3 linked regions of the Rhinolophus ferrumequinum genome follow. The protein of the gene in region 2 interacts with the protein of the main gene of each other region in a biochemical or structural test. Links are inferred from orthologs where the notes say so. Each region holds a gene or a part of one and is shown on either strand. Other genes may lie near its edges.

The links. The genes of interacting proteins can lie anywhere in the genome.
Region 1: the proteins of PPARG (region 2) and GRIP1 form a complex in vitro, tested with the Homo sapiens proteins (2 studies listed by BioGRID). The link is inferred for Rhinolophus ferrumequinum from reciprocal best matches to the Homo sapiens genes PPARG and GRIP1.
Region 3: the proteins of PPARG (region 2) and TRIM24 interact in a test that uses a peptide from one of them, tested with the Homo sapiens proteins (2 studies listed by BioGRID). The link is inferred for Rhinolophus ferrumequinum from reciprocal best matches to the Homo sapiens genes PPARG and TRIM24.

What each region holds. Positions count from the first base shown.
Region 1 is NC_046293.1:63,340,860-63,350,920, forward strand, and holds the start of GRIP1 (glutamate receptor-interacting protein 1), read right to left. Parts: upstream 4,438-10,061; 5' UTR 4,228-4,437; coding exon 4,095-4,227; intron 1-4,094. UniProt on the Homo sapiens protein: May play a role as a localized scaffold for the assembly of a multiprotein signaling complex and as mediator of the trafficking of its binding partners at specific subcellular location in neurons.
Region 2 is NC_046300.1:42,144,643-42,154,337, forward strand, and holds the start of PPARG (peroxisome proliferator-activated receptor gamma), read right to left. Parts: upstream 3,847-9,695; 5' UTR 3,781-3,846; intron 1-3,780. UniProt on the Homo sapiens protein: Nuclear receptor that binds peroxisome proliferators such as hypolipidemic drugs and fatty acids.
Region 3 is NC_046309.1:10,566,871-10,577,278, reverse strand, and holds the start of TRIM24 (transcription intermediary factor 1-alpha), read left to right. Parts: upstream 1-5,971; 5' UTR 5,972-6,260; coding exon 6,261-6,624; intron 6,625-10,408. UniProt on the Homo sapiens protein: Transcriptional coactivator that interacts with numerous nuclear receptors and coactivators and modulates the transcription of target genes.

The DNA.
Region 1 (10,061 bases), on a different chromosome or scaffold from region 2:
ACTAGGGATTTACATGCATGCATTGTTTAACAAAGTAACTTAGCTAACGATGTTTTTATACATACACATTACAATTGTTGCTCACTTATCTATTAGAATAGGCAAGCAACAAAACAATAAAATAATTTGCAAATACAAATGACCTTTTCTCAAAAGGTCTAAACCATATATTCACGATCCCCCCTTTCCCTAGTTTCCCTGAAAGGACTTCAGTAGGAAAGGTGAAAGAATGGGTCACTAATGACTGCCCTAGCAGCTTTTCCCCGCACAACTTTCCTCTCACCTAGGTGAGTCAGGAAGAAAACTGAGAAGGGCGATTAGCATGGAGGAACTCCATGCCTAATTCAATCATTACACACATGCAAAAGGTGCCAGGACCCTAAGTGAAAGCGACTCACATATTCCTATTCCTAAGAGATAAACATATTCCTCCCTTTTTAGTAATTCAAAGCCCTGCATGGACCATAGCAGGTTAGGATTTCTATCATAGATATAAAGAATGCTAAGAGTACACTTATAGAATGTACATTATCTGTTTTATAACTTGAATATTATCAGGTGTGGCTAAATAAAAATATACATAAAATAGGGTCAAGAGGGTTTTTTTTTTTTTTTATGTAACAGATGAATCAAAATACGATCTGCCAGAATCTTTAAAAAAACATGGCTATAACACAGTATTTAGTTAAAAACAAATAAAAGCATCAAACATAATAAAATTGAATTTCAGGATCCTTTCTGAGCTTTTTGTTACATTTGAATCAGTTTTGTAAATCTGTGTCAGTTTTTCTTAAGGAAAAATACCAACTGACTCATCTATGTGAGAATTTCAGAGTAAATGGTGCTTCTTGGCAGATAACATCATAAAAGATGAAGTCTAGGATTTACCAACATGTTCAGAATTTCATGGGTTTATAAACATCCTCCCAAACTCCTTAATATTCAATGATAAATTATTATCAGAAAGGAACAGAAATTTCCCTACTGACAACTCCTGACAGAAAAATAGTTCCCTCTGGATAACCAGGTGAATTTGTTGGCTTACATCCCAGTTACAATCCTTCAGCCAATATGTTTATCTAATTGTTTCAGAAACAAAACAAAGTTTAGTTCTAGAAGTTAGAAAGCTTGAGAATTAATTTCATTTCCTGTGAAAACCCAGAAATGTTTGGAAATTTGCCCAAAGCAGTTCTCTAGTTTAATTAAGCCCTAACTCTAGAACTATGAAAGGATAGATGAGTGATGTAAGCAGGTTTTTGAAAAATCAAAGAGTAGTCATCCCATGCACAATGATATACATCAAGTCCATATAAAATCTGGGAATATTTAAAAATCAGTCTGCCATCATCACCACTATTTAAAACTCGGTTTTGATGGAGTTACCGAAAAATCATCCATATTTAGAAGAACTTCACTTTCATAGGATCAGACCCAATGACATTTTAATTCAGGCTTTGGCATTTCCGGAGATTATTAAGCATGTTGTATTTAAGATGAAGAAAAGGAAGGTGAACTTCTAAATCAGAACCCACCACAGAGGAGACATTATTTAGAGATCAAATTAAATTTCAGTAAGCACTTGAGAAGGTACTAAACGAAGGGCATACTTACTGGTGAATTTTCTGAGGTCTTTCTAGCTCAGTCTTTCATTGTTACATGTATAAAGTGCTTGTGGTAATCTGAACCACTGGATAAACTGACAAGACAGAGAGTTAAGTTTCTTTCAAGAAACAAACAATGTAGGGAGAAAAATAAGAGCAATGACACTTCTGGTTTATCAATAGCACCATTAACTAAGACGTGAATGTCATCAGTAAATTCCACCGAGTCTTAAACCTTAATGTAAATAGTTTTTCTAAGGCATCTGGGAAATATAGAGCATAAACGTTCAAATTATGCCAAAGACTAATTAAAATAGATACACCACCATAAATGTAATTGGATTAAACCATAGTACCCATTTGAGAGGATTGGTTTTAAGGATCAGTCTCACCCTTTAATACTTTTCTACGGCCATAAAATATAAGTGGATATCTCCCCTGTCCAATTCAGCGAGTCCCTGAAACTGAAATGAATAGATGCACTGAGAGGTCATTATGTTACATGACATGTCTTCTTTAAAAGCCCTGGCTATTTAACACTTGATAAAATGCCAAATTCCAAGTACCTGCATCCATTGTGACATACTCTGTTTACTATATAGCCTTTTGAAGTTGGCAACTCAACATGTATCTAACTCCATAGAGTTATATATTACATATGGGTGCTTTCTGATAAATCACAGGCAAGAACATGTCAGTTTTGCATCTAAAGGAAATAACATTTGATGTTAGCATCTTATCTTTAGCATGACTTTGACAAATCAGATAAATTAAGACATGATGACTCTCTTTACGTTACTGCATTTGATGTATAAAGACTCCTGCCTTAGCTGTATCATTCTCCAAACTCTAGTTTGGGGATGTTTCTTTACGTATCTCCATAAACATTTTTTCTTGTAGGCACATTTTGTACCCTTATGAAGTATCTCTGTTGTTTTTAAATTTTTACCAAAACTAGTAGGGTGCAAGCATTTGAGAGAGAGTTTTAAAAATTCTATTTGTACAAACACATCACAGTGGAAACGCAAGAAGATATGAATTTGACTCATTATATATATGTGTGTATATATATATACATATATATATACACACATATATATGTATATATATATGTTGTAAGAAATTTGTACAATGAGCATCAACATAATTAAAAGTTCCCAAGTTTCTTTTTTTTATCTCCAGGTTTTCAGAATTATGCTTGCAAGCTGACAGTATTTTTTGATGTGACAAGATCAAGATCTTAAATTCTTGAATATATTATGAAAACTAAATTTACGAAACACAGACTGTCACTACATTAGAGCAGATTATTTGCGTCAAACTCATTGCAGAAAAGAAACATCTCTAAAACTCAGATTACTCTGTAAAAGCCACATAGCCATATTATTGAAGCAAAGAATTATAATTTTGAATTGTTGTGTTGTTGCCACCACATGACTTTTCAACTCTCAATTTTCATCCATCACAGCAGCATTTCTGGCATTTAGACCTAATACTCATGTATTTCAATACCACAGAAATGAATTCTAAATTATTTATTAGTCAACGCTCAGAAGCTGTAAATGGGATATATTACAATTAGACATCAAAACACCATGGAGAATTAGAATTGAAATACAAGTTTATAAAGATCCTTATTCAAGAAGATTAAAAATAATTTTTAATTTTGTAAATGTAGATCAGACATAACTGTCAGTTCCCCGATTTTAGGGCACCTCGTAAACTCAGTGATCTCTGTGGTCACTGCTTTCTCTCCGCACCCTGAGGCATTTCTGGGCATTTTAAATCTATGACAAGTGTAAACCTCACTGAAACTTAAAGGACTGATAAGAACAAGGAAAATTCTAGTTCTCTGCTATTTAGAAGCTAATTGACAAATGTCTTCAGATGGATATACTATTTTATTCGACAGGTATCACTGCTCTAACTGACAGCAAATAAAGAGTTCCCTTAATTTAATAACAAAATTATAAACATGCATCAGAGGAAAGCATTTCAACTTCCTTGTACAAACAACACCTAAGAGTAATCACAGATAACTGTCTGGAAATCTGTATCAGGAGCATTAATCATCAGTATCAACTTTAACATGAACAAGTATTTCTTCCAAATAAGCTAGCCTTCCCTATTCTGAAAGAACAAAAAAGCAGTTACTTGAAAACAACTCCGACAGAACCACCTACTACATTTAGCCACATACTACATTGGCTTGCAAGATAAATGTGTGAATGGCTCATTAAAAAATGGTAACATAATCAATTAATCGCACCTGAAATACTCATCATGTGTATAGACCTCCTAGTTATATTGTCTAGATGCTATCTGATGGCTATTCTTGCAACAAATCATCAAAATGCAGCATTCAGTACTTACAGACTGCTTACCAACAATACCATCTGGAAACCTTTTGCATTTAAGATTAAAGCTCCACACAAGGTTTATTGTTAGCCCCAGCAAGAGAGAAGGAACCGGAGGGTGGAGGGGAGCGCTTACTTCGAAAATGCTCCGAAGCGTAATAATAGACATCCTCATAGCCCTCGTGGTAATCCTCTTCTGGTCGGTACTTTTTCCCCTTTCTTCTCCTAGATCTTCTTATTTGCTTGACGAAACCCAGGAAGCGGTCCATCTCTCCCTGCCGGTGCAGCCTGGCTCAGCTCAGCTGCTGGGGGAACTGGTGGAGCATGAATGGCCAACACCGAACCTGGGGCTGGGAAGCGCTACCCTTCCATCTGCCTGTGCTACCATCAGCGCGGAGATTTTAGCCATGGGAGGGGGTAAAAATAAGAGCGATATGGGTTTGTCTTGACCAGATTTCTTATTTTGTGCAGTACACTGTCCAAATGTGCAATTTAAAAAGAAAAGAGAGAGAGAGAGAGTAAAATGAAAAGAAAGACTAAGAGAAAAAATAAACAGCGAAGCTTTGGGCTTCAAACAGCTTCCAAACAAAACAGAACAAAGTTCAACAAGAGATTCAGCTGAGGGGGGAGAAGTCCCAGCACTAGAATTTCACTATCCAACATCTCCATCGTCAGGGGCGCGGGTGCAGAAGAGAGGGGCGGGGAAATGTACTAGTAAATGGACTGAACCAAAGCTAGAGACCCAACGGACTTTTTCGTACCTGCTAATCCCACCCCCTCCTCTAGCACCCGTGGAAGCAAAGTGCAGTGCTTGGGGGAGCTTCTTGGAAAGCTGTTGTTTTGCAATGGGCGGACGGATTAACCCTTTGTGCTCTGTGGCGCATATCGTACTAATGAGCGCAAAGTGGTTTCATCCATACGCACTGCCTCTTACTGACAAAAGTGTGCGGTATGTGTTAATTGGAGCAGCAGGGAGAAGGCTCAGCAGCTGCTTTCAAATGACACATTTACCCACTGGGCATTAATGTATTCCAACCACTTTTTGATCTAAATATTAAAATGCGCTTCACAGAGTGGCTTCCCCATAGGCTGAGTAACAGCATACCACAATCAGCAAATAAAGGAAACTGCGTGGTGTTTGGGAACAGAAATACAAATAATCCAATTCTGCTTACAGCGAACTCAAATAAAAATCTAGCTGAGTTGTTACATTTTTTTTAAAAAAAATAGGAAAACAAACAGGCTAAAGAGCAAATAAAACTTAGTTCTTGGTGAAGATGGAGGGAGGGAGAGACGTTTCTAAAAATCCTCACACCCTCTTCATCCTTTGTCTCTAAAATCAGAACTTCTTTTTTTTTTTTTTTTTTTAAAAGTACTACAATCAGAAATACTTCAGACTAGACCAAAGAGGTACTCCAAAATCCAGACAGGTCAGCGTTAATCGTGGATAATCTTTTCCTCTCTAGCTTCTTTCTTCAGGTCTTTAAATAGATACATTTTTTTTAACATCAGGAAAAATGGAATTTGTTTACACTATAATTAATCAAATATGTCAGCATATTACCTACTAAATTAATAATATGCTGCAACTCTATGGTCCCAGAAATGTACTTTATTTTAAAAGCTGCTTACTGTATGAGTCGTTCAATATCTATGTAATGTCAAGTTTATAGGACCATCCCAAAAAGAAGTGATTGCACTTAGCACTGTCTGTTAGATTCACAGGCAATTTGTCTCTTTTGTAGATTTAGGCATTTCTCTATTTGCAGGTATTAATTACTAATGCTGGAGTAGGGAGACATTTACTTAAGAGATAAATATTTATCAACTAAGAACATTTCAGCTCTGAAATGTGTAAAGTTAGATTCAGTGAATTCGCCCTATTTCTATAGTCCCCCCTTTTTATGCCTTGCCAGTGAGTTTGTGAAGAGAAACACAAACTTAATGATATTGACAAAAAAATACTATAAAATGTCTTAAAAACATCTTTAAACAAAATTCACTTGTCCTTAGGTTCCAAATCTTTTCTTTATTATTCTGACTCCTTCAACCAAAATAAACTAGAACATCTGGAAGTTCTAGTTGAAGATCTGGAGTCTAGTCCTTGAATAGGTCACTAAAAAAAATAATAATACGTAGCCTTTTCATTTAATTCTCCTAACAACCTTTATAATGAGGTGCTACCTCTATACATGAGAAAAGAAGGTTTAAAGATGTTTTAGTGGTTTGTCCAAGATCACAAAGGTAACATTGCCAAGTATGACCTACTACAGGTATTTTTTCATACAAATTCAGAGATTATCTTGCCTAAGAATTATTTGCATTCAGTGATTCATTGTTGTCTATGTGAGTTTGCAATTGAAATGGAGTTTAAAAATAATAGTTTTTAACTGGGCTAAGCATATATCCTGGTTTATGTGAGTAATATGTCCTCAGAGATTATGCAGGCAACAAATTTCACTCAAATTACCTCTGAATTACTACAGCTCCTAAATTAGTGGAGTCTACATTATTTAAATTTTATAGTTTTAAGCTCCGAATTTGATCTAAATGGAATGACACGATAGAACAGATGATGCTTGATTAGAGAGAAGATCATTTGTGTATAGACCAACTTAAAACATTCCACCACAGTTTACTGATTTGTAATTTCAGTATTCAAAGACCCTGAGAATTTCTCAACTAGTGATAAGCAACTATTTTGAATAAGAACTAATGCAAAGTAAAACTGTCCACATACAAAACTGTTTTCAAAAGTAAACAGAGATTATGCTTAAAGCACCTTTCTATTATTTTCCTAGTTTTGAAGAATTTTATTTGGGAGGTTAACATTTCACTATCTGATTATAATAACAACATTTTTATATAAGAGGACGTTTGGTAGTGCTAGGGAAGAGTTTAAAGTTCAGCCATGCACTTGGAGAGGTACAGGAGGGGAGGTAACAGCCATGTTAAAACAATCACAGATGGTTAGGAAGAGGGAATAAGGAATTTGATGTTTAGAGGAAGTCTGCTTGGGTCACAAAGAATGAAAGAATGTGGCCATGTCCCATGCAAGGGAGAGGAAGCATGTGTGTATGTGTCACAATCCAAAAGATAGAAGGCAAGACACTTGCTTCTCTGCCTGAGGCTTGGTGCAGGTGTGTTGGATCCTTTAATCAAACTTCCTGAGTTCACACCTCTGACTTTTTCCTGTCTTCTATCCTAAATCCTTAATGTTTGAGCAATGGAGCACCAATCTAAAATCTAAAATGACTTGTGGTTATACAACAGTTAGCTAATATCCCAATACTAATTGACAAATGAATAGAGTGAAGTTCAAGTCCATTCAGTTACGTTTACAACCATTTCTGTAGAGAACCGCCCTGTTTCCTCACAGCACAAACAGTGGTAAGTGGTGCTATTCACCAGTTATTGCACTCTTCAGTCTGAACAGATGGGCTAGTTGAGAGGTTGTAAGTGGCAGTTCACAGAACAAGTATCTCCCACAATTGTGTTTGGTTTGGCTCACATAAGTGTTGTTTTGTTTATTTGTTTCTTCCTTTTAAGCTGCACCAATATTAAAAGTCAGGAATTTCACAGATCAGACATTTGATTTTTTCTTAAAAAAAAAAAAATCAAAAGATCTGGCAACTCTGGGCCCAATTCCAATATGGCAACTACTGATCAGAGCTGAGTGGTGGCTGCCACCCATAAATAAACATGCACTTTCCACTTAGCCACAGCCCCCTCCCCTGGGTCCCATTCTCTCATTCAATTACCACCTGCCCCCTGAAGGCATTTATGCTTGTAAACCATGGTTGAGGTACTGTCCTGATGAGCCAGTTCCAAAACACTAATTTCTTTAAGAGAAATTTCAGTTCCCTTATATTTTCATGTAAAGAAAACAAATTATTATGACAAATCAGTTTTAGTTGTGCTCAATGTTCACTAAACTATAAAATTAAATTTCTTAGAAAAAAATTGTTCATATGACAAAATAAAGCAAGTTGAATTATTCAACAAAATGTGTTTCAATAAAGAATAGCAAATACTAAAAAAAATGAAAAGAAAAGCGAATTCTTTTTTTTTTTCTAGGAAGTAAGCAATTTCCTGAATAGCACTTACATGGATTCCATACGCTTCTGAATTCGATTCTCCATCCCCTTTTAGGAAAAGAGAAATAGACCAACTACTGAGCTTAAATCTCCAATTTACAACCTTCCCTAGATCACTGAGTCAGTAGGACTCGTATGTGCATATTTAGATTAAGTAATAGTTACCGTAGTTTCTGAGTAGCAGAATGGAACACAGTTTACTAGAAAACTCTTTGAGATATTGGATCAATCGGACCTTATTTAGATGCCACAGTGTTTGCTTGTGATACCAAGAGCAGCGACACTGACATACTGAGGGTGGCAGAGTATGAAGGGAAAACACTGGATCCTGACGGACAATTAGAGCATTCTTCATCCGGTCAGACCCAACACCACTTGACTGTGGCAAAGGATTTGTAATACCCCCCTTTACTAGCCTAACTGAAATTCATGGATCATGTGACCCAGGTACATATAAGTTAAACATAAAATTCCTTAATAAAATACATATTTAAGTGTATTTCAATAATATGTATTAAATTGGTAAATCTGTGGCTACAACCATACCAGATGATATAGTTAGATCCTTGCACCTACTTCTAAGAAGCAATTTCAAATTTCAGAGATGATCAGGAGCCTTTCCATACAATAGAGACAAAATAAAAAGGTAGAGTCACAGGCGGACAATGCAGTAAAAATTAGTATCTTCATTTATATTAAAACTGTGAAAAATATCTCAAGTCAAAAGAATGAAAAGAAGTCACAGACGAGGAGAAAAGATTTGCAAAAGTCACATCTGATAAACGCCTGTTGCCCAAAATATACAAAGAACAAAATATAGAAATACTAAAAGAATGCTTAAAACTCAACAATAAGAAAACAAACCCACCTGATTAAAAAAATGGGCTGAAGACACTTTAACAGACACTTCACTAAAAGAGATAGACAAATGGCAAATAAGCATGTGAAAAGATGCTCCACATCATATGTCATCAGGGAAATGCAAATGAAAACAACAATGATACACACCTATTAGAACGGCCAAAATCTTCAACGCTGACCACATCAAATGCTGGCAAGGATGGAGAGCAACAGGAATTTTCCTTCATTGCTGTTGGGATGCAACATAGTACAGCAACTTTGGATGACAGTTGGTTTCTTACAAAACTAAACATATTGTTACCATACAATTCATTAACTAAGCTCCTTGGTATTTACGGAAAGATTTTGAAAACTTACGTCCACACAAAAATCTGCACTCGGATGTTTCTAACAGCTTTACTCATAATTGCCAAAACTTGGAAGCAACCAAGATGTCCTTCAGTAGGTGAATGGGTAAATAAACTGCGATACATCAGATAATGGGATCTTATTTAGCATTAAAGAGAAATGAGCTATCAAGCCCTGAAAAGACATAGAGGAAACTCAAATGCATATTACTAAGTGAAAGGAGCCAATTGGAAAAGGCTACATACTGTATGATTCCAACTATAGGACATTCTGGGAAAGGCAAAACTATGGAGATAGTAAAAAGATCAGCGGAGCTAGGAGTTGCGGGGAGGGAGGGATGAAATAGGCAGAGCACATAGGGTTCTTAAGGCAGCGAGACTACTCTTATAATACTGTAATAGTGGATACACGTCATTATGCATTTGTCCACACTCACACAACACCAAGAAAAACTTCTAATGTAAACTATGGACTCCGGGTGATAATGATGTGTCAATATAGGTTCATGGATCCTAACAAATATACCACTCTTGTGGGTGGATGTTGATAATGAACGAGGCCATGCATGTGTGATGGGGGAGGGGGGAGGGGCGGTACATGGGAAATCTCTGTACCTTCTGCTTAGTTTTGTAGTGAATAAAACTGCTCTAAAAAAATTAAAATCTATTCTAAAATATCACCTTATGCCTCTGTATATAACAGCATTATCTTCTGGGATCAAATAATTAAAATAAGTTTTCTTTTACAGAAATAATTTACTCATATAGACTTTTGAAAGTTGCACAGATGTAGGACAA
Region 2 (9,695 bases):
GAAAAGCCCAACCTATACCATTCAGGGAGTAGAAGTTAATGCCTCTCCCCACTCCCTACCCCAAAGGGAAGCCACAGAAAAATGGACATTCACCTGTAGTCACTGCTCTATGCCTTTCTTTACTCTCTGTTTCCCCTTCCTTTTAATTATGATCCCACTTGAGCTTTATAGCTCTATATTCCAGGAACGTAATGGAATTCTGGCCTGGAAACACGTCCCTTACTTTCTTGCACAGGAGACAATTCATAATAAACATATTAACAATTCATATGGAGAATTTAAAATTTATGATGCATGGTTAACTATATGCTTTCCTAATTACTCTCTACTAGTAAATTGATGGGTTATTAGGGGCATACTCACGTTGCAAGCCACTAAAAGCCTATTTTTTGGTTACAGCTTGTTAGAAAGACACCCAGTTTTTACCACAAGCATAAGTCACTATTAAGTTTTTTAGGCTGTAATACTAAACTATATTTCGATCTAAAGGATCACAGCCCTCATTATACAACAAACTTGCTCCCGGATAAATTATAATATATACTCAGAGGGTGCAGAATAAATATATGCACAGAATAGAACTTTATATATATAAAAAAGCACAATCCGTGTCTTCTAGACACATTAGACATACAATACTGACACAAGAGGGTCCACGTTATGTCTACTATAGGACTTGCAAACATAATATCAATAAACCAAAAATAATTACTAGGCGGATTTTTATCCAAAGTCATCAGGGAATGATGACAATTTAAAATCAAATAACAATGAAATATTTCCAGAAGCATTTTATAAATTGATCACCACAGGGCAAGCATTATCTTCAGTTCACTCTTAAGAATAATCTCAAAATTAGTGCTAGGGTGAACTATTAACAGTTGTAAAAGAGTTACTTATATATAATGCAGACAACTATGAAGGTTCTCTAAAATATCTGCTCAATTAAATTCAGGGCCAACGTCATATCATTTAAGATACACAGGTTGCTGATCAAGTCTTAAAAATCATACAAAAAACAAAAAAGCACAGAACAGTAACTGCAATACTTTTCCCATTTCACAGATGATGAAATGGAGAGTTAGAAAGGATTAGAGACTTGCCCCGCTATAATAACTGAAACAATTAAAAATGTAAACACACTCATATACTGAATTAAATATTTAGTATTAAAATACTGGTGCGCATTGTTGAAGAAAAACATTAAGATTACATGAACCCATTTTTAAAATAAAAAATAATTTAAGTATATACTATTATTGGTGATAGTTGTTGTCTTAGTATCTACAAAAATTTCGCCCAAAATATGGCCTATTGTATTTGAGCGGATTTCCTTACAAGAACCTACTTAAGTATTTTAGGTAAATAAAAATTAAAACATGATATTTTTATTAAATAAGCTTAAAACATATGCCATATAACTCCCCCAAATCTACATCTGTCTTGTGATAAAATACAAATAGTAAATAAGAAACCCCCAGGAAGATTACAAATAATCTTAAATTTAAAATTTTTATCTAGAATGCTATGAAACTAACTGAAGTATGATATGTTGGTGCTATCTACGCTTGCAAGATGGTTATTCACAGATCTTACTGTACTTTTGTGAAGTCAAATCGATCAGTTTTAAAGGACCTTTGTCAGCATTTTACATCGCTGCTCTTTTTGTTACTTTTTAGTCTTAAGAGAGAGAAAGGAACAGCTCAAGAGTCAACTACCCTTACGTGGGAATTTGCTAGGAAAAAATAAGAAAAGTAAATTAGAAATTCAGTTTAACAGTTTTTAAGGCGAGGAGGGGCGTATGTTTATGCTTATAGACTGGTGTCTTAAATGCTCTTGATTAGTGATTCAAAAAACATCCTCTACAACTAATATTTATTTAGTGGAATCCTATGAGACCAAAAACTTGTTCCAGTACATTTGCCGCACCTATGATATATATTATATTTCCAAATTCAAGTGACAATGAATTCAGCAAAACACTCACAAATTAGAATGACTAACATTTTCTGTTCTATTCATTGGGCATATGTAGAGCCTACGAAAGAAACAAAAGTATGGGCCAGAATATATAAGACATTTGTAATGTATTATTTTAACATTTTTTTCCTATTTCACGAAAGTCTCCAGTTATTAACAACCGCTTCACAATTTAAAAACGAAATGCATTATTAATACTTGCATATGTTTTCATAGCAGTGCCTTTCACACTGCTATTACATGCATGATTATCTTGATAATTAAAGTTAGTGGCAAGCATCCTTATTTTCAGAGAATTACAGAGGAGAGAAAATATGTATTTGCTTATAGTCATATTACTTACTAATTAAAAGCAATTAGCCATGATCAGCAGTGCATTTCTAATGCAAATTCCTACAGTAACACTTTTTCTCTTGTACAAATTTTAATATATAGGGATAATATAATTTTATGTCACAGGGATTTTGAAATTAACATTGTGATTTTTAAAAATGATCATTTATCTTTTAAATGTAAGTCTGAAATATACAAAGAAATGAACAGTAAGGAAACTAGTCTCTTCAAAGAAAATAGTGTATTTATTTAAAATACTAGCTGCAGTTTTAATTTAAAAAAGAAATTATATTCTTTTAAATTTAAGAATGAAAAAACCATGACCAAAAAACTTAGCTTGAAATTCTCCAACCTTTATACTTCACTGATGCCATGCTTTTACAATAGTTATTGCAAAAGCTACAAACCAACTTAAATATGAAAAAGAGTTTTGATTTAAAAATTAAATCACGTTATTTTTCTTCCAGTAAGAAAAGGCTGAGCAGTCACTAGTTAATTTTAAGGTGTTTTATTTTAAGATATAATTATCAGCAAGCGGAGTATCAGATATCATGAAATTTAAATAAAGAAGAAAAATTATATGAAGTACAAAGTAAGACAAAAATGGATGGTTTTGTAACAGACTTCATTGCTTGGCTAACACATTAGTTTTAAAATATTGTATATTAAAGAATCCTATGGAACATATATAACCTCCAGAGTGAATCTGATTGAAAAATAGACAACACAAAAATTGTTTTAAAACTTGAATAGGATCTTTTGAAATAGCACTCCACATGCTAACTGGGAGTATCTATGAGTATTTTCTATAAAACTTGCATAGGAGTGGAAGGTATTTTTTTAAGAGAGAAGCCACAGTGAGTGTCTATGTTATTCTCTATACCAGAGGGTTTTCTAACTCATTTAGCACCATCAGGTTGGTTCTACTTTCAGCCAGGAATTGAACACTTAGCCCTAAACAAGAAAGACTGCCACAGAACACCTGAGATCCGTCGAACAAATCTACTCAGGTCCTTTAAAAAGTAAGCTGGTTATTGTTCTCCCAATAACTCATTACAATTTGTTTCATGAATGATTAAAACACCTAACATTAAAATTGTACTTCAAAATCGAGTTTCTCCAGCAATAGGTTTCACACAACTCAGTTCATCATCTTGCTCGGTTTTGTTTTCAGATGATAATTTACACAAATTAATTTTACATTTTGTCCCCAAGCTTAAAAGGAGGAAAAGAAGAAAAACTTTAGCTTCTTCATGACACACTGCTGTTTTACTTTATTCTCCTGAAATAATTTTTCATTTTTCCAACCATTATCCTCAAACTCAAGTGAATTAGATTCTCACCGTAAAGCAAGAGCACAGCAAAATAATAACGCTATAATGTAATTAACCATCAACGTTATCTTGCACATTTTGGATACATCACCAAAACATTTCAGCAAAATGCAGTTACAGTGAGCCGACTCACCTAAGCACTGGGAGTTAAGAAGAATTTAGAAATGCAGCCTTCTGATTCACCAGCAGAGGTAAAGGCCCCTTCTTTACCTAACTGACCTTATATAAAAGCAGCAGATAGGTTACTCCCAGTTTCTGCCTCCTTACCTTAGGCTCCTCCCCAAATACCAAGGCATAAAGTACCACGACTACACACCCACCTTGCACCCCCTACACTGAGGGACCATGATTACCTACCTCGGTTAGGCTACAAGTGCAGTAGTAAAGCTTGTGCGGACGAGTGGGGGCCTGCAACACGCTAACACTCGCTTTCCCAACAGGGGATGAGAGGGAGCCGCACTTTCCATCCCCGACGACCCTGGGGGCTCCAGCCCACACCCCCACCCCTCCACTCGGCTCAGAGTCAGCAGAGAGCTTAAGGGCACCGGGCTGGGTGACTCCAAGGGCGTCCCTCGCTTAACTGTCACTACGACCCTACACAGCGATCGCCGCCTGGGTTCTGCAGACCCAGCAAGAGGACTCCACGGCCGCCAGACGGCCACGCACGGGATCCCGCGTTTCTACCCCAATGTCCCCCGCGAGCCGCTCCCGGAAGCCTGAGCACCTCCTCCGGTGATCGGAGGTCCCGGGTCCTCTAGGACCTCCACCCAGGGCAGCGCAGGACTCGAGGGCTCGCGTCTCCTGGGGCTGGACCGCCGCTCTCTGGCGCGCCTCGCGTGCAGCCCTTGCCCTCCACCGCCGCGTTTGCTCGCGCTGCGCCGGGACTTCTCGGGGCTCAGTCCTCAGCTCCGGACCTGTCAGCCCCTGTCCCCGCGGACCGTGACCCCTCTGCCCACGACCCCTCAGCCAGAGACCCCTTCAGCGGCGACCCTTCAGTCCGTCCGGGTCCCCTCTGAGCGAGCCCTCAGCCCCCGCCAGCTCTCAGCATAGATAGACCCTCCTCGGTCCCGGACCCCTCTGCGCGCCGCCTTCCCCCGATTCCCCTCGCCCCGCATCTCCCGCCCCGAGGCCCCGTGGGCCGGAGCGCCCCCGGGCACCCTGATTCTGACCTGCGGCGGCGGCGGCGGCGTGGCGCCCCGCTCTAGTGTCCCGGCGGCTGACCGAGCGCCCCAGGCGGCTGCTCCGCAGGGGCCTGGAGTGCGGTCGGCTCCGCCTGCCCGAGGCCGAGCGGGGCCAGGGGCGGGCGCGGGGTGTGGGCGGCGGGCGAGCGGGGAGGGAGCGGCCCGCGGCACCCGCGCCCTGGCGCACAGTAGGGCCCCTCGCCTCCGAGGCTGCCTTTTCTGAGCGCCTACTCGGCGCCCAGCCCGGTTTGTTCCTCACAATCACCGCTGGGAGGCGGCCCCGAATGGTCCCATTTTACAGAGAAGGGCCCCGGGCGAAGCTCAGAAAGATGCCCCGGGTCACGTTAGAGTAGAGCCCGGGATGTGGGGTTCTGGAGCCCGCCCGCCCTCTCCAGGCCAGTGTGTCTCGCCTTTCGCAGAGTGCTCTGCGAGATTCCCACTCGCCCCGCAATTGCTCTTTTCCATGACATTCTTGACAAAAAGTAGTTAAAAGCATACTTACGATCACCTGGTTTTTATCTGATATCCTAATGGTGCTGCACACTTTCAGAGCCCCCCTTTTTCATTTGTAATTCAAACTGGTATTCATTAGTCAACGTGACAGAGTTTTAGCTTTAATCATTAAAAGTATTTCTTAAACTCATTAACATAATTTCTTGAATTATTTTAACAGTGTTCCTTACACGAAGGGACTCGGACACATGGGGTAGCGGTGAGACGCTAGGTGTGGGGACGTCAAGTTTTCAAGTTTGAGAAGTAGTCAGGGGCATGCTGCGTCATAAATCTGCAGGGTAGACCGTGGGCAGCGTCTTCTCCTGCTGCTTTCTCCATCAGGACCCATTCAAAGGGGGGTTGACAGATGCCCAATCAGAAAGCCTCTGGTCTTCCGGACCTGAGGCCTTACTTTCTTTGCCTTCTAACAATTGCATTTACTACACATCCTGTTCTCGGCCTGGCCCTCCCAAAGGAGAATAAAATCCCTGATTTCAAGAACCGTATCAATTACTTGCCCAGGATGCTCTCTAGTCCTTTAGCATCTTAATTTGTTGGGGATGCCTACCTAGTTCTTTGCTCTCTAATGCAGAATGCCTTCATTTGTAGTTTGAAGGAATTTTTTGTGAGGATGAGTATCATTTCAAAGAAAGTTCAGAGCTTAAATCAATAGGTGTGTATCTTTCCACTCATCCCCTAAAATAAGAGGCTAAGGGCCACGATTCTATTATAGGGACTTCAAAGAAAACCATTTTATTGACCACTGAAAAACGCTGTTTCTTTGCCTGCAATTTAGGTAGTCAGGTTGAGGTGGCTCAGCATTCTACCTTCAGGCCTGGAAGTGCTGCATGCATCCTATTTCTTGATCATTCCAGAGTTCCGATCTGCTCTTTTTTTTTTTTTAATAACAGCTTTATTGAGATATAATATACAAAATCTAAAATTTAAATACTATACATTTTAAATGTACAATGCAATGATTTTTACTTTATTGACAGAGTTGTTCCACCATCACTATCATCTAATTTTAGAACATTTTCATCACCCCAGAAGAAACCTCCTACTCCCCCCCTAACCCTAGGCAACCACTCATTTATTTCTGTCTCTATAGACTTATCTATTTTGGACAATTCATATAAATGGAATCACACAAGGTCTTTTGTGACTGGCTTCTTTCACTTAGCACAATGTTTTGAGGCTCACCTATGTAGTAGTAGCATGTATCAGTATTTCAATTCCTTTTATGGCCAAGTGCTATTCTACTGTATGAATATATCACATTCTGTTTATTCATCCATCCGTTGATGAATATTTGGGTTGTTTACACTCTTTGGCTATTAGGAACAATGCAGCTATGAACATTCACGTCCAAGATTTCGTATGCATATATTTTTCATTTCTCTTGGGCATATACCTCATTGCATAATTTCTGAGTCATATGGTAACTTTATGTTTAGTTTTTAAAAAACTGCCAGTCTGTTTTCCAAAGTGGCTGTAACATTTTACATTTCCAGCAGCAATGTATGAAGGTTTCAATTTCTCCGTATCTCTGTCAACACTGTTGTCTTTTTATTTTAGCTAACTTAATGGGTGTGAAATGGTATCTCATTATGGTCTTGATTTGCATTTTCCTAATGACTAGTTATACAAGCATCTTTTCTTGTGCTTATTGGCCATTTGTGTATCCTCTGAAGAAACATCTATTCAAATCCTTTGCCCATTTTTAAATTGGGTTATTTGTCTTTTTGTTGCTAATTTATAAGAGTTATTTATAGTATATTCTACATACAAGTCCCTTATCAGGTATTTAATTTGCAAATATTTTCTTCCGTCCTGTAATTCTTTTTTTCTCCATGGAGTCATCTAAAGCAAGAGTTTTCTGAAGCAAAAGAGTTTTCAGTTTCGGTGAAATCTAATTTATCTATTTTTTCTCTGAATGGCATATCAGTGCGTAACCTAAAGCTATGGAAATTTATTCCTAGGTGTTCTTCTAAGAGTTTTATAGGTTTAACTCTTACATTTAGGTCTGTGATCCATTTTGAGTTAAAGTTTGTGTATGGTGTGAGGTAGGGCCAATCTGCTTTCGGCGGGGGAAATTTGAATTAAACAACACTGATAAAAGGAATCCCACTGCAGGGAATTCATAACCAGTGCAACATTTTAGAGTTGGTTTGAATACTTTCTAAATTCCCTTCCAGATACAAAAATTTTGTCATTTAAAAAAAAGTGATATATAGTTACTGAAGCCTATAAATATAAGAAGCCATATAAATTGAAATGTATAAATCTGTATTTTAAACTATTGGCCTTGATCCATTGGTGGCTTATTAAATCAGTTTAATGGGTCATACCCAGCATTTTTTTTATGTCAAATAAAGAGGAACAAAAGAGAACAGAAACTATCAGAAAGCATACCTCGAATTCAAGAAAGTGTTGCTTCATAACGTTTGTGTTATACATGCATGTGCATTTGTGTGTAACATGAGTTGGTGTAAAATGTGTTTCTTAACCACATTTTAAGAAGTTGGAATAACACTGTATAAACTACAGTTGCAGATTCATTCATTCCACAAACATTTATTGAGTATTTATTTTGTGCCAGACCTTCTGTTAAGTGCTGGGGATAAAATGATACACAACACATGGTCTCCGCTCTGCAACAGTATACGTATGCAGTCTGAGCCATATGGAGTTTCTAGGGACAGAAGATTGTGCCTTGGTTCAGTTTTCCCCAACCACAGGGACTCCTTCAGAATATTGATGTTTGGTCCCATGGCACTTAATTTTTGTAATTAATGCTCAGTTGTTTATTTCATTTGAGATTTGCCAATACATTTGCTTTTCTTCCAACCAGGGGACCTTTGTTCCCAGGTTCATAATTGCATACTATGATTGTTATATTGGGAAGGAAATACAGGCCTGGTAGTGGGAGTTGGTCGTACATGAATTGATTCCCATTTTACTCCCACTATATTTAAACTAGTCCCACTGACAGACCTCAGGTATTTAAAAATTCTGGTATATTACTTTTTAAGGCAAACATTTTAAATCATGTCAAAAATTTTATTTCCCAAGGATTCAGCAAAATAATGTTGGCATTAATAGTGATATTTAACCATTTTGCAGATGAATTTAGGAAAATTAATGTGTTGTATTTCCAGTCATCCAGTCGAGTCACTTATCTACAGCAGCCATGTACAATCGGGGCTCTGACATTTGCTCCTCCTTTTTATCTGAGATACCATTTATCAGTCTTTAGACAATGTAAATTCTCAGGAGATTTAGAAGATTTTAATTTAAAATTTAAAAAAGTATAACCAGTTCAACATGCTGGACAGGTTAAACACACACATTGACATTCACAAATACACTACTGTTTGAATGACTCTATTATGTTCCCACACATGATTTTTAAATCTAGTTACGAAATTTTACCTGTACCTTTAAATATTATTAAGGTCCTCTTTTCCTCCTCTCCCTATTCTGTCCCCTCTTATTTTGCCCCTCACCAAATGACTTGTCTCTTATTTTGAAGGTCTTAAGTACCAAAGCCAGGCTTGTAACCCATTTCTTCTGATTTCAAATTGCTTGATCTTTTCACTCTACCTCTCTGCTTAACTCAGCATTCTATTTCTGTTGGTGTTTGCCTGTAAATAAAAATTTTTTCTCTGGACCATCTTAATAAAAGTTAATACTTGATTATGTATAAATCATTAGGCTACAGTATAATACAGCTATGTATTGGTTCAAAATAAAAAACATGGAGACTATAACTAAATTAGTATTTTTTCTTAATACTCCAACTTAGAGCACTCTTTCAGATAATTTGGAAAAATTAAAAGAAACATAATTTTAAGGCCATTTCTTCAATAATACACTTTTCTTTAACATTGAATGAAATAACTGCTTATTTTTGAAAATATTTTATTTTTCATAATTTGTGGACTCCTATGAAATTAATAATGATATTTAACTCCAAAGAAATTCCACTTGGCAGTTTGAGTAGTTTGGAGTTAGACTAGTTAAATTTTAAGGGTTTGAAACATCATTAAAGGTTCAAAAATACTTCTGATTTTCAGGGAATAAAAAAGAGAGACTTTAGACCTGCTTTATCAATTTTCTCCACCTTTTCCCCTAAAAATTGACCAATTTTGCACACCAGATTGACCTGTGACTATCAAGAGGTAGCAAGTACACAACTAGTCACCTTGGGGTAGCAGAATAGTTTTCAGGACAGGAAAGTTGTCCTTTCCGTTTGTCTTTTCCTTTCAAGAGTTTTGTTTTAATTAAGAACTGGTAGAATGGAGAGAGCCCTGACCTTTATCTCTGTTCACTGTGACCTTGAGCAGGAGACTCACCCTCTCTGAGGCTTAGT
Region 3 (10,408 bases), on a different chromosome or scaffold from region 2:
TCTCCAGTCTCTCTTCCTAATCTTATAAGGACACCAATGCTATCAGATGAGGGCTCCACCCTTATGACCTCATTTAACTTTAATTCCGAAAGACCCTATCTCCAAATATAGTCACATCTGGGGTTAGGGCTTCAACGTGTGTATTTTCAGGGGCATACAATGCAGTCCATAACATTCAGTTAAAAAAACCCAAAAAACTAAAAGCGTGTATATTGTGATTCCAATTAAATCAAATTATACCTGTGTTGGTGTGTATGTACAGAGTATGTTTACACAGATAGATTCTGAAAGGATGTTCCCCAATAGTAATGAACTCTGTAGATGGGATTTAGGGAGTCAACGACAGGCATCCTTGGGCTACATTAAGAATAAATTATAGCACAGAAAATCAGGTGTAACTAAATATAGTGGTTGACATATATCACCACATAAAAGCAAGCAAAAGCTCTATAACAAATGAAGATCTGTTTCATATAAATAAAGTTAAATGTAAAAAAATAATAATAACCCCAATGAATGACACTTTAGAAAAGTACAAATGTGGAAATGAATTCTACTATCAAATGAAATATTTCTTGAAAAGTAGAAACTGCTCTGCTATTTCCGTGCTTTATGTTGGTTTATACCTTTTTTAGAAGTTATTTCTCAGGAAAAAACCATGTCATCATTTTCACAGTCCTTTAAGTCTTCTACTTTGGTTCACTCATTCATGTCTCCCTTACTTACCCCTTTCTCACAGTGTCATGGATCTATGGAGTCTCTTTCCAGCTCCCCGTTACTATACTTTTCTTTCCTTCATTTGTTCCCTTATTATCTTTCTTGTTTTCACTCTCTTTTATGTTTCTCGGGCCTCTTATTCACTTACTCTTGATCTATTGAGTTTTTCGTTGCTCCCCCCGCCCCGCCTTTTCCCCCTCTGCAATCCCTAACCTCATAAGGAAACCCAATAAATATGCCTCCACATAACAAGCAGAATACTAAAATGTGGGGCTTTTCTCTGCTTCTAGATATTCTCAGAACAGTCTGCACAGGTATAGCTTCCAGTCCTTAAGTGGACTCACTCCAACTGTCCATAAAGGTAGTATGTTGAACAGACTCATGAATCAATATTTAGTTTACAGGACACTTCATTACTTCTGTCCTTCAAACAAGGGAAAAATATACCTCTGCTCCTGTCATTCCCCAACCCTTACATGACTTCTTTTCCTCTGAATGTAATGTTCTGAAAACATTATTTACTCAGAAGAAAAAAACGATTGCAGAGTGGAGGTGGTGAGAGAAAAGGAAAATCACCAGCAAACATCTGTCCTGGACCTTCCTCTTTTGCAGATGGCTCACAAGAGCCAAACATTTGAGGGGGAAAAAGCTATAACTGAGGCAGATGGTTGGAATGGAACATAGGGTGATAGGACTACAGCAGGAGGAAGAAAGCTCTAGATTTTTGGCTTCCGTAAAATTTGGGAACTATTAAGGGAATACAGAGTAGAAGAGATGGTTATTAGCCGAAAGGAATTACAATCTAGTAGGAGAAATGACAGGCCCTTTGTGTTGGGTGTCCCCAAGACCGCCCTCAGTTTTTGTGATTTGCTAGAAGGACTCACAAAATTTAGAAAGTTTTCCCACTCCTACTTACAGTTTAGTACAACAAAAGGATACAGATCAGTATCAGCAAAGAAAAAAGGTGCAGAGGCCAAGTTGAGGAGAAACCAGGAGCAAAGCTTCTAGTTGTCCATTTCCAATAGAGTCTTACAAACAGCATTTAATTCTCCCAGCAACAATATGTAACAGCCCAGAAACAGTGTTCCCAACCAAGGAAAGTCATCCAAGCCTTGGCATTCAGGACTTAAATTGATGGTCGGTCACATAGGTATACAGCACCCATGGGATCGACCTTAGCTACTCAGTCTTCAGTTCCCCAGAGATAAAAATGACACTGCATGGCAAGAGACTCAGGTATACAAAAAACTGGTGTTAGCCATAAGACATGCCTTCATTAGCATAAACCACCTGGTCAAATGATGGAGTGTGGCCCAAAGCCTCAAACGTCCCAAAACTCTCTTATCAGGTAGGATAAATGTTCAGAGACTATCAGTTAGTCAAGGGCCAGTTCTTTCTTTGGAATGTGCAGGGTTTGAGTAATCCAAGCTCACTGAGTTAATCCTTTAGTGTACCCCAAAATAGTATGTAGGCTATTAACATTAATTAAAAAAAAAATTGAAAAAAACGAAACAAAAAAACCCTGAAGTTTTTATCTTCCTGATAGCAGAAAGCTTCATCTAGTCATATTCTTAATTACTTTAGGTTTTGTTTCCATTTTTGTTTTTTTGTTTTGGTCATCATTTCAGGTTTTAAATCAATCAATACAGCATTCATTCTCCCTTCTCTCTAGACCCAATTTGCAGATCCAAGGGTTAAATAGTATCATGGCATAGGCGGGAAAGTGTACAGAGCATATAAAATATACTATCAACGAGGTTGTTGTTGGATTGAGGTTTGCAAAACAAGTTGCTTCCTAGTAGGAATATGGCCGCACATGTGTGAGCCTGATAAGAATGAAGTGAAAAACATGTTTTTGTGTGAAACTGAGTATCACAAAATCGAGTGATAAAAGCGTTCACCAAAACAACTTCTCGTTATTACTGAAGAGGTAAACAACTCCTGGCAAACAACTTCTGGTTATCACCTAAGAAGTAAATAAGTCCAAGGGAAAGGATAAAGGCAGAACTCCAGAGCAATGCCAGGAGAAGCCCAACTGGGCGCTCCGGCTAAGACCCTCTGCGAGGTGCAAGCTGCGATACCGGAACTCTCCGAAGTTCTTTCTTTGCAAACAAGACCAACTTGACTCAGACCTGTCGTGGGCCCAGTCGTCTCTCCCAGACCAGGGACCTTCTCCATCTCGATTGACTCTGTGACTTGGTTCGTTATTAAATTCTATTCTGTCTTGTATAAACTATGGTGCTTGCCAGAGCATTGGCCTCTGGAGGGACATTGGCTCCCAAATAAAGCTGTGTTACTCACTCTGTCTGAACCTGTGTGTCAAGACTTTGTTCCCCACTTACGTCATGAGTACCATGCAGGGACATAGGGCCCTGCTGAGGGGTTCATGTCCCCTTGACTTTTAGGAAGAGACTGAAATATGGCAATTGCCCTTTCAGGTGCTCGCGACAGAAAGACACTGGATTCTTGGGCATCCTTGGTTCATGGTGGCATACACAGAATGTGCCTTACCTGCATTGGTTCTTGACTGCTGGCATCTCTGTGGAAGCTATTGAGATAATGAGACAGTCTTTGGTCCCTGCACACTGCATCCTTCTTTTCCTAACAATGAAGCCTCAAATCATCCAGGCCTTTCTGCTACTACTAAAGCTACAGGGATCTTTTCCTTGTTCCTGTAAAGCCATAGGAAACTGGGTGAAGGAGTTATCTCAAACCCTTCTTGCTAGACGTGCATCACAGCCTCTGAGAGGTCTACTCAAAAATGGTTTCGTTAAACTCCCCTGGAAGTTCTAAAATTTCTATCCATTACTACCTTTTGAGTGGTGGGCATGAGGAATTCTCACTAGACTCGAATGCTCTTGTTCTCCTTCTCTTCCAGTATGGTCAACTCTTATCTCTGCTCTCAGAGGTGGTTGTAGAGGTGATGGTGATGAAGTTTAGAAAAAGGCAAACCATCCAAAAGGCTGAAGCTTAGAATGGGTATGGAAAACAGTGATGATCCAGACAGGAAGATCAGATAGGGATGAAATGTAGAGAGACTTGGATGCAGTGGGGAGCCATAGAAATTATGGAACAAGAGAGGGGAATATATTGAGAGCTGTAATTAAGGAAGAATAATCTATTGGTAGATCTCTGCGAAAGTTTTACAACACACTTGGGAGAATGACAATATCTAGATAAGAAAATCACACAAGTAAAATAATCTAAAATAATAAATTCGTTTTCTAGACTTAAAAAAAAAACAGAAGCCATATGTATTTGAACAAAGTAAAACATACAATTGTTTTAATTACCTGAGACTAGGAAGTCTAAGAATATGGAAGATAATTTTCTCTAAAACTGATTATCCATGATGACTAAGAAACTAAACTAGTGGGCTGTATCAAATTACATGGAAATCTCTCAAAACAAGCCTCCCCAGTTCACCTCTTATTCTTTCCTTATCCACTACTGTCATCTGCGGGAATAAAGAGCACTTGTCTTTAGTCTGTGTGAATCCTGTATACTACCTCTGTAATGAATTATTAACATATTAAAATCATTAATTTGTAATACAGAATTTGCTTTCATAGTATATGAAGATTTTCAAAGTGCAGCTAGAAAAAGATAGGGTGGAGAATGAATACTGGAGAAGAAGTGATGAACTTTGTCTGGGATGGTTTAGAGGGAGAATAGGTAAGTCTGAATTTTGGGGGAAGGGCATTCTAAAACAAAGGGAAAAGCACATGCAAACCAGGAGGCATTAAAATTAAAGCATGAGAATACTGGGAACTTCAGATTGAGAGATGTATAGGGATGAAATCATGGAGGGATAGGTAAGAAACTTCGGATAGGTCTCTGTTTCTTTAAGGGTAGTCTTGGAGCACCCAGATCACAATTATGAGATGCTACTAAAATTGAATATGGGATGGGCCCAAAGAACCAGCTCTTAAGCAAACTTGCTTGGTGAATTTCATGCAAACTAAAGTCTAAGAAACTAGTACCATACAAAATGAATAGCCCTTGAATATCATTAAGGAGAACTTTGCTCTGAAGGCTTTTGGAAAATGGATTTTATGACCTGTCTGGTAAAGAGTCTGGTAGGAGAGGAATAATTTGGGAAGGTACTGAGGTCTTGTGGGAGGGCTAGGAAGCCTAGAGTTTGCCCCCGCCTCCCACCATGCCATTTTTTCTTTCAAGATCTTTTCAACTTTAAGTTTTTCTGATCCCATACCACTCCCTCAAAGGTCCAGCATCACTTCATTTGTACTTAAAGAATGGCACTTCCATACAATTTTTTTACAGTCTTGTGTATACAAAAGCTTTGTTTCTCCTAACCCGTTTCTATACTTCAAGCTCCTTAAAAGTTTGGCCATTTTTTGAAAATATGTGTAACTTCTAATGTAACTGTGTGTGTGGGGGGGGTTGGAGAATGAAAACAAAAATATTGAAGTTATGAATTATTTGGACATAAATATTGAGTTTTATTTTTATTTTTGGAATGATGCCATATTTGTGCAATAAAGACATTTGCAAACAATTTTTATATATTAAGTCCTTGGAAAATGAACCCTTTTATTCACTTAAAAAGCAAATCATTGACTTTAAAAATCAATTTTCATTGGCGAAATCCTTACAAAATTTCTGACTTGCAATAGAACCTTCCCCCTTATTCTTCATGCTCCATCATTCATCATAGAGATGAGTACCTTCAGGTGGCAAAATCCATGCTGCCTCTACGGTATCGTTTTTTCACATTTTCACAATTCTTTCCTTGTTTGCTCTTCACTATCTCTACTTCACCATCCTTTGACCCTCCCACCATATTTATGCCTTCTACAGGACCCCGGTCTCCAGTAGTAAAACGAGAGTTTTCGAAGCAGTTACTTAATTAACGCGCATACACGGTAGAGCCCCGCCCCGTAGGAGGAGCCAACACAGGAGGACCGAATTAGATGGTCGGTCGTTAACAAATGAACCCTCAATATTTTCAGAGGAGCTACACGCACACAAAGGCCCAATCAGAGGCCGCGGTTCCAGGATTTTGAGGGGCGGGGCTTCACAAGAGCCCTCCCACCTCCCAGCCTCCCGCCGGGACCGTCGGAGCCTCGCGGGCATCGGCTGGCCCCGCCCCCTGGCCTGGCGCGGCGGCTATTGGGCGGCGAGCTCCCTGCCGTCGTCTCAGTTGCTGGGAGAGAGGGCGAGGGCGGGGGCGGATCCGGAGGTGGGTCGGGGGCTCAAGAGAAAAGCGGGGAGGCGAGGGCGGGCTGGGCGGATTCGAAGATCGCCGCGGCGGTTGGCGAAGCGGACGGAGCACGTCCTCCGCGGTGCGAGGAACGGTCCCTGCTGACTGATCCCCTTCTTCCGGCCGCGCCACCCGGGAGGCGGATCCCCGGGGCCTGAGGAGGCTTCCTCGGCCCGGCCCTCTCGCCCTCCCTCTCCCACGGGTCACCCGAGCGGCCTGTGACGACGAGGAGAAGGAGGAGGAGAAGGAGGAGGAGGTCGTCGGGGGCGGCAGCGGGCGGAGACCGCGCTCCCCCTTCGGCGGCGGCGGGGGCAGGACAATGGAGGTGGCTGTGGAGAAGGCAGCGACGGCGGCCGTGGCGGCTTCGGCGGCGGCCGCCGGGGGGCCCTCGGCGACGCCGAGCGGGGAGAACGAGGCCGAGAGTCGGCAGGGCCCGGACTCGGAGCGCGGAGGCGAGGCGGCCCGGCTCAACCTGTTGGACACTTGCGCCGTGTGCCACCAGAATATCCAGAGCCGGGCGCCCAAGCTGCTGCCCTGCTTGCACTCCTTCTGCCAGCGCTGCCTGCCCGCTCCCCAGCGCTACCTCATGCTGCCCGCGCCCATGTTGGGCTCGGCCGAGACCCCACCGCCAGTCCCTGGCCCCGGCTCGCCGGCCAGCGGCTCCTCGCGGTTCGCTACCCAAGGTGAGAGGCGGGCGCGGGGGAGCCCAGGGAGGGCGTCGGGGAGACGGGCGCCCTTGTGCTGCGCGACTCGCTGTCATGTCGCCGCCGCCAGGGGTGCGCGACGGGGGAGGGGCGAGAAGGAGGGTCTGTGTTGGCGGCGGTGACATGGAGGGCCCGCGCTCGCTCTGCGGCGTGCCGCGCGCCCCGCGAGCAACTTCCACGGGCGCCGTGGACTTGTCCGCGCTGCTGCTCCTGCCCCTCGGCATTCCCCTCCAGGGTTGGGTGGCCCACGCGACCCGCACTTTTGAAAACCTCTGTCGGAGTTTGCTGTAGTCTGTATCTCGGGTTCTTTGCCAGCTGCATCTAGTTAACGGCTACCCTCTGCCTCCCCCAAAGCTTTGTCCAGGTGCATACGATCCTAATCATCTCGTCTACACGCACGTTTTTCTGAGCTGGAGTGGGGAGGCAGGGATGAAGATGAAGTGATGGTGACTTTCTTTGATGACTGATTACAGATCAGTTGCCGTCTATTTTCTGTCTTGTATGTTTCGTGTTCTTTACCTTCCTAAGAACCCAGTTCTCTTCCCCTCTGCTGTGGACAAAGGAACTAAGAGGCGGTGTTTTGTTGTCTTTCTCTTTCGAAGATTTTATTTTTGAAACGGTAAAAGGTAAAGAGAAATAGAACAACGTGATTTGGGATGCAGGATTTTTCTTGTATTTTGTAGACAGCAGCTGGAAATGTTGAAGTTACTGTTCTCTTTGTGGTGTTTGTTTCTGTATAACAAGACTTTTGACAGGTAGTTCCCATTGGTAACGTTAACAGGTTTGAAACATTTAAAGTTAGTCAAAGTAAGCACAGTAATTCTTTTTCTTGTAGAATACTTGAGGTTTTTAAATTTTAGTATTGCAAATATTTGAGCTCCTTCTCTTAAAAATACAAAGTAACTGGAAAAGGTGGGATTATTCATTTCTAATATTTGCTTCCTTTTTAGAGGGACTAGTAGATTTGAGATAAAATGCTAATTAAATAATTGAGCTAAGTCAAAGGGTATGTGAAATTAATTAATGCTTTAAATAAATGGTCGTGTTAGACTCCTCATTTAATTATATGCTAGAAACAGTATCTAGTGGAGGGAGACAATTTTCCATGGGTCTTTCTCTGTTTCTGCAGGTCCTGCCAGTGGTTACTGCCCTTTGTTTGTATTTTTAAGGGATGTTTGTGTAAGGAACAGTCTTAGAAGAGTGTCTTCCATCAGAGCAAAGAGCAGGCATGCATATGGTCCAGTGGAATACAAATAAATGTCTCCTTCTGGAGTAAAAGGCAGGCATGCTTACTGCTCATCATAAAAGATTGGGGTTCCCTAAGCTTAGGTTTCCTCTCATGTAACAACCCATTGCCTGTGCAGGTGTCAACTGCCTCTCTTCACCTTGCCTGGTAAGAGCTGGGACTCTGGGAACCAGTGCAAAAATGTTGGTGCTTTGGCTTACGCTATTATTGTAAGTAATAAAATGCCCTTTGTCTGTGACTCCTGAGTCTCGTGTTTTCTACTAGCATCCGTGGTAAGCTACTTTGTTAGCTTGTGGTAGGGAGGATAAAATCTCAGATCCTTCATACTATTAGTTTGGTGCAAAAGTAATTGGTTTAAAAGGTTAAAAAAATAATTGCAAAAACCGTAATTACTTTTGCACCACCCTAATAGTTTGCTCAGATGTGGCCCACCTGTTGGAAAGTTAGTACAAGTGAAACATCTTAGTTCTTAATTTTTAGACACATTTTAAGGTTTCTTATATTGCTATTTTAAATGGTTAAACAGGCAACTAGCCAATTAGGATCTGAATTTTGCATAATTCTAGAATTAAGATATATTGTGTGCCTGGCCATGACATGCAGACCTGAAGGAATGAGAATTTGGATAATAAAATCTCTGATCCTCAATTCTGAGACAAGTTTGTAATTCCAGATTTCTCAAAATGTTCTATATAATCCCAGTCCCCAACTCTTTTTTATCTTTGTATTTGTATTGTAAGCAAGAGTTCAAGGAAAGCATTTAAATTGGAAGATAAATGTTTTTGTGTACTAAGAAAAAGCATTAACAAATGATACTTGCACATACACCTCAAAAAAGTTAGGGTCATTTGCAATAAATTGAAAATATTTTCCTGAGTCTTATTGACTGGGATATTTTCTCCCCTCTCTCCCTGCAAACTTATTTTAATACCAGCCGAAACAAAAGTTTAGACAATACATTTTAGAACTAAATAGATAGGGTTCATTTGATCATCTGTTCCTCATTCTCCTAATGAGCTTGTGGGTACAGGCATCATGGATCAAACTACAATACCTACAGGGGCTAAGCTGGTAATTGAGATGGAGAACTAGGAGCCTGGGGTTAAAATAATGGGGAGTGGGGGCCGGGGGCAAACTAGGCTCTCACGGATTCTCATGTGAGTGCAGGGCCAGTGTTGAAGGATCTTTTTTTTTTTTTTAACTTTTATTATGAGAAGTCTGAAGTCTGGATTTTTGTGTAAAATTTCTCTAGAAATTTAGATCTTGGCAGGTAATTAAAAAACCCACACAGGGCCCATTCTATAGACCAACAAAACAAAACAAACAGAAGAAACCAGTTTGGTTTAGGCCACATACCATGCTGCAGTTACAGTCTTCCCTTTTAGATTTAGATAGGGGTTTTCAAATTTTAGCTCTTCTAGAATCACCTGGTATACTTGTTAAAAATTGATTTCTAGGCGCCTCTCCCCAGAGAGCCCGATTTGGCAAAGATACAGAATTCTAGAGTATAACAGTAAACCCCAGTGTTTCTTTAGTTCAAGCAGTATTACATTCAAAAATACAGGTGATCGTAAAAGGATTCTTTAGAAAATTAAGACGGAAATTCAAAGCGTAGCGTAGTAGTTCTCAACACTATCAGACCTAGTGTCCCTTTCTAGTATGTACTTTTTGGTGTTCCCTGTATTATCCTAAATGAAATTTATAGAAAAGAAATTCTTAACACATTTAAATATCAAAATCAACACAATGCTTTAACTTTTAAGAAAGAAAGCTAATTTGTAACAAAAAAGTATTATAATTTATAAATGCTCAGACGCAATTACACTAGCCACCATGCCCCCATTGAGAACGTTGGTCTTGTTGACTGGCCAAATAATTCTCCAGATAATCCTCCAAAAGAAAACGGTTTATTTGGAAAAAAGAAAAAGGAACAGAACCGAGGAGTGCATGCACACTTGCCAGCAGGGCTTGCCCACTGGCCACCCACGTGGGAAGAAGAGATGAGCCCAACATGGCGCCCCTCTTTATTCGCATTCCCCGCTCCTTCCCCGGAGGTTACCATAGAGTTCAACAGGAAGTCAAGACGAGACAGTTAACAAAGGGCCCATCTCCGTCCTTAGTCCTCCCAACTCTATGGTTAAGCGACTTAAGATGTCAGTTCACTTTCAACAGTGTAAACTGCCCTTTTCTAAGGCTACCATTTGGAAGGAATGAGGGTGAGGGACCACAAGCTAAAGTTGGATGACTACCTCAGCCCTTGTCATTTTCTTAGCATGCAGTTACATCCAGGAAAGAGGGGAGAGCTTAGAAAACAGATTTTCTTTAGGTACATTATAGATACATATAGCTACATTATAGATGATAACATAGATTTTCTTTAGGTACGTATAGATCAGGAGACAACCTGATCTTGGAGAAATGTTAGAACATTGTGCAATATTCTGTGGTGGTGATGTACCGTTCAGCCAAAGAGTAGCAAATTACTAAGAGCTATTTTTAAAAAACGCTTTCTAAAGC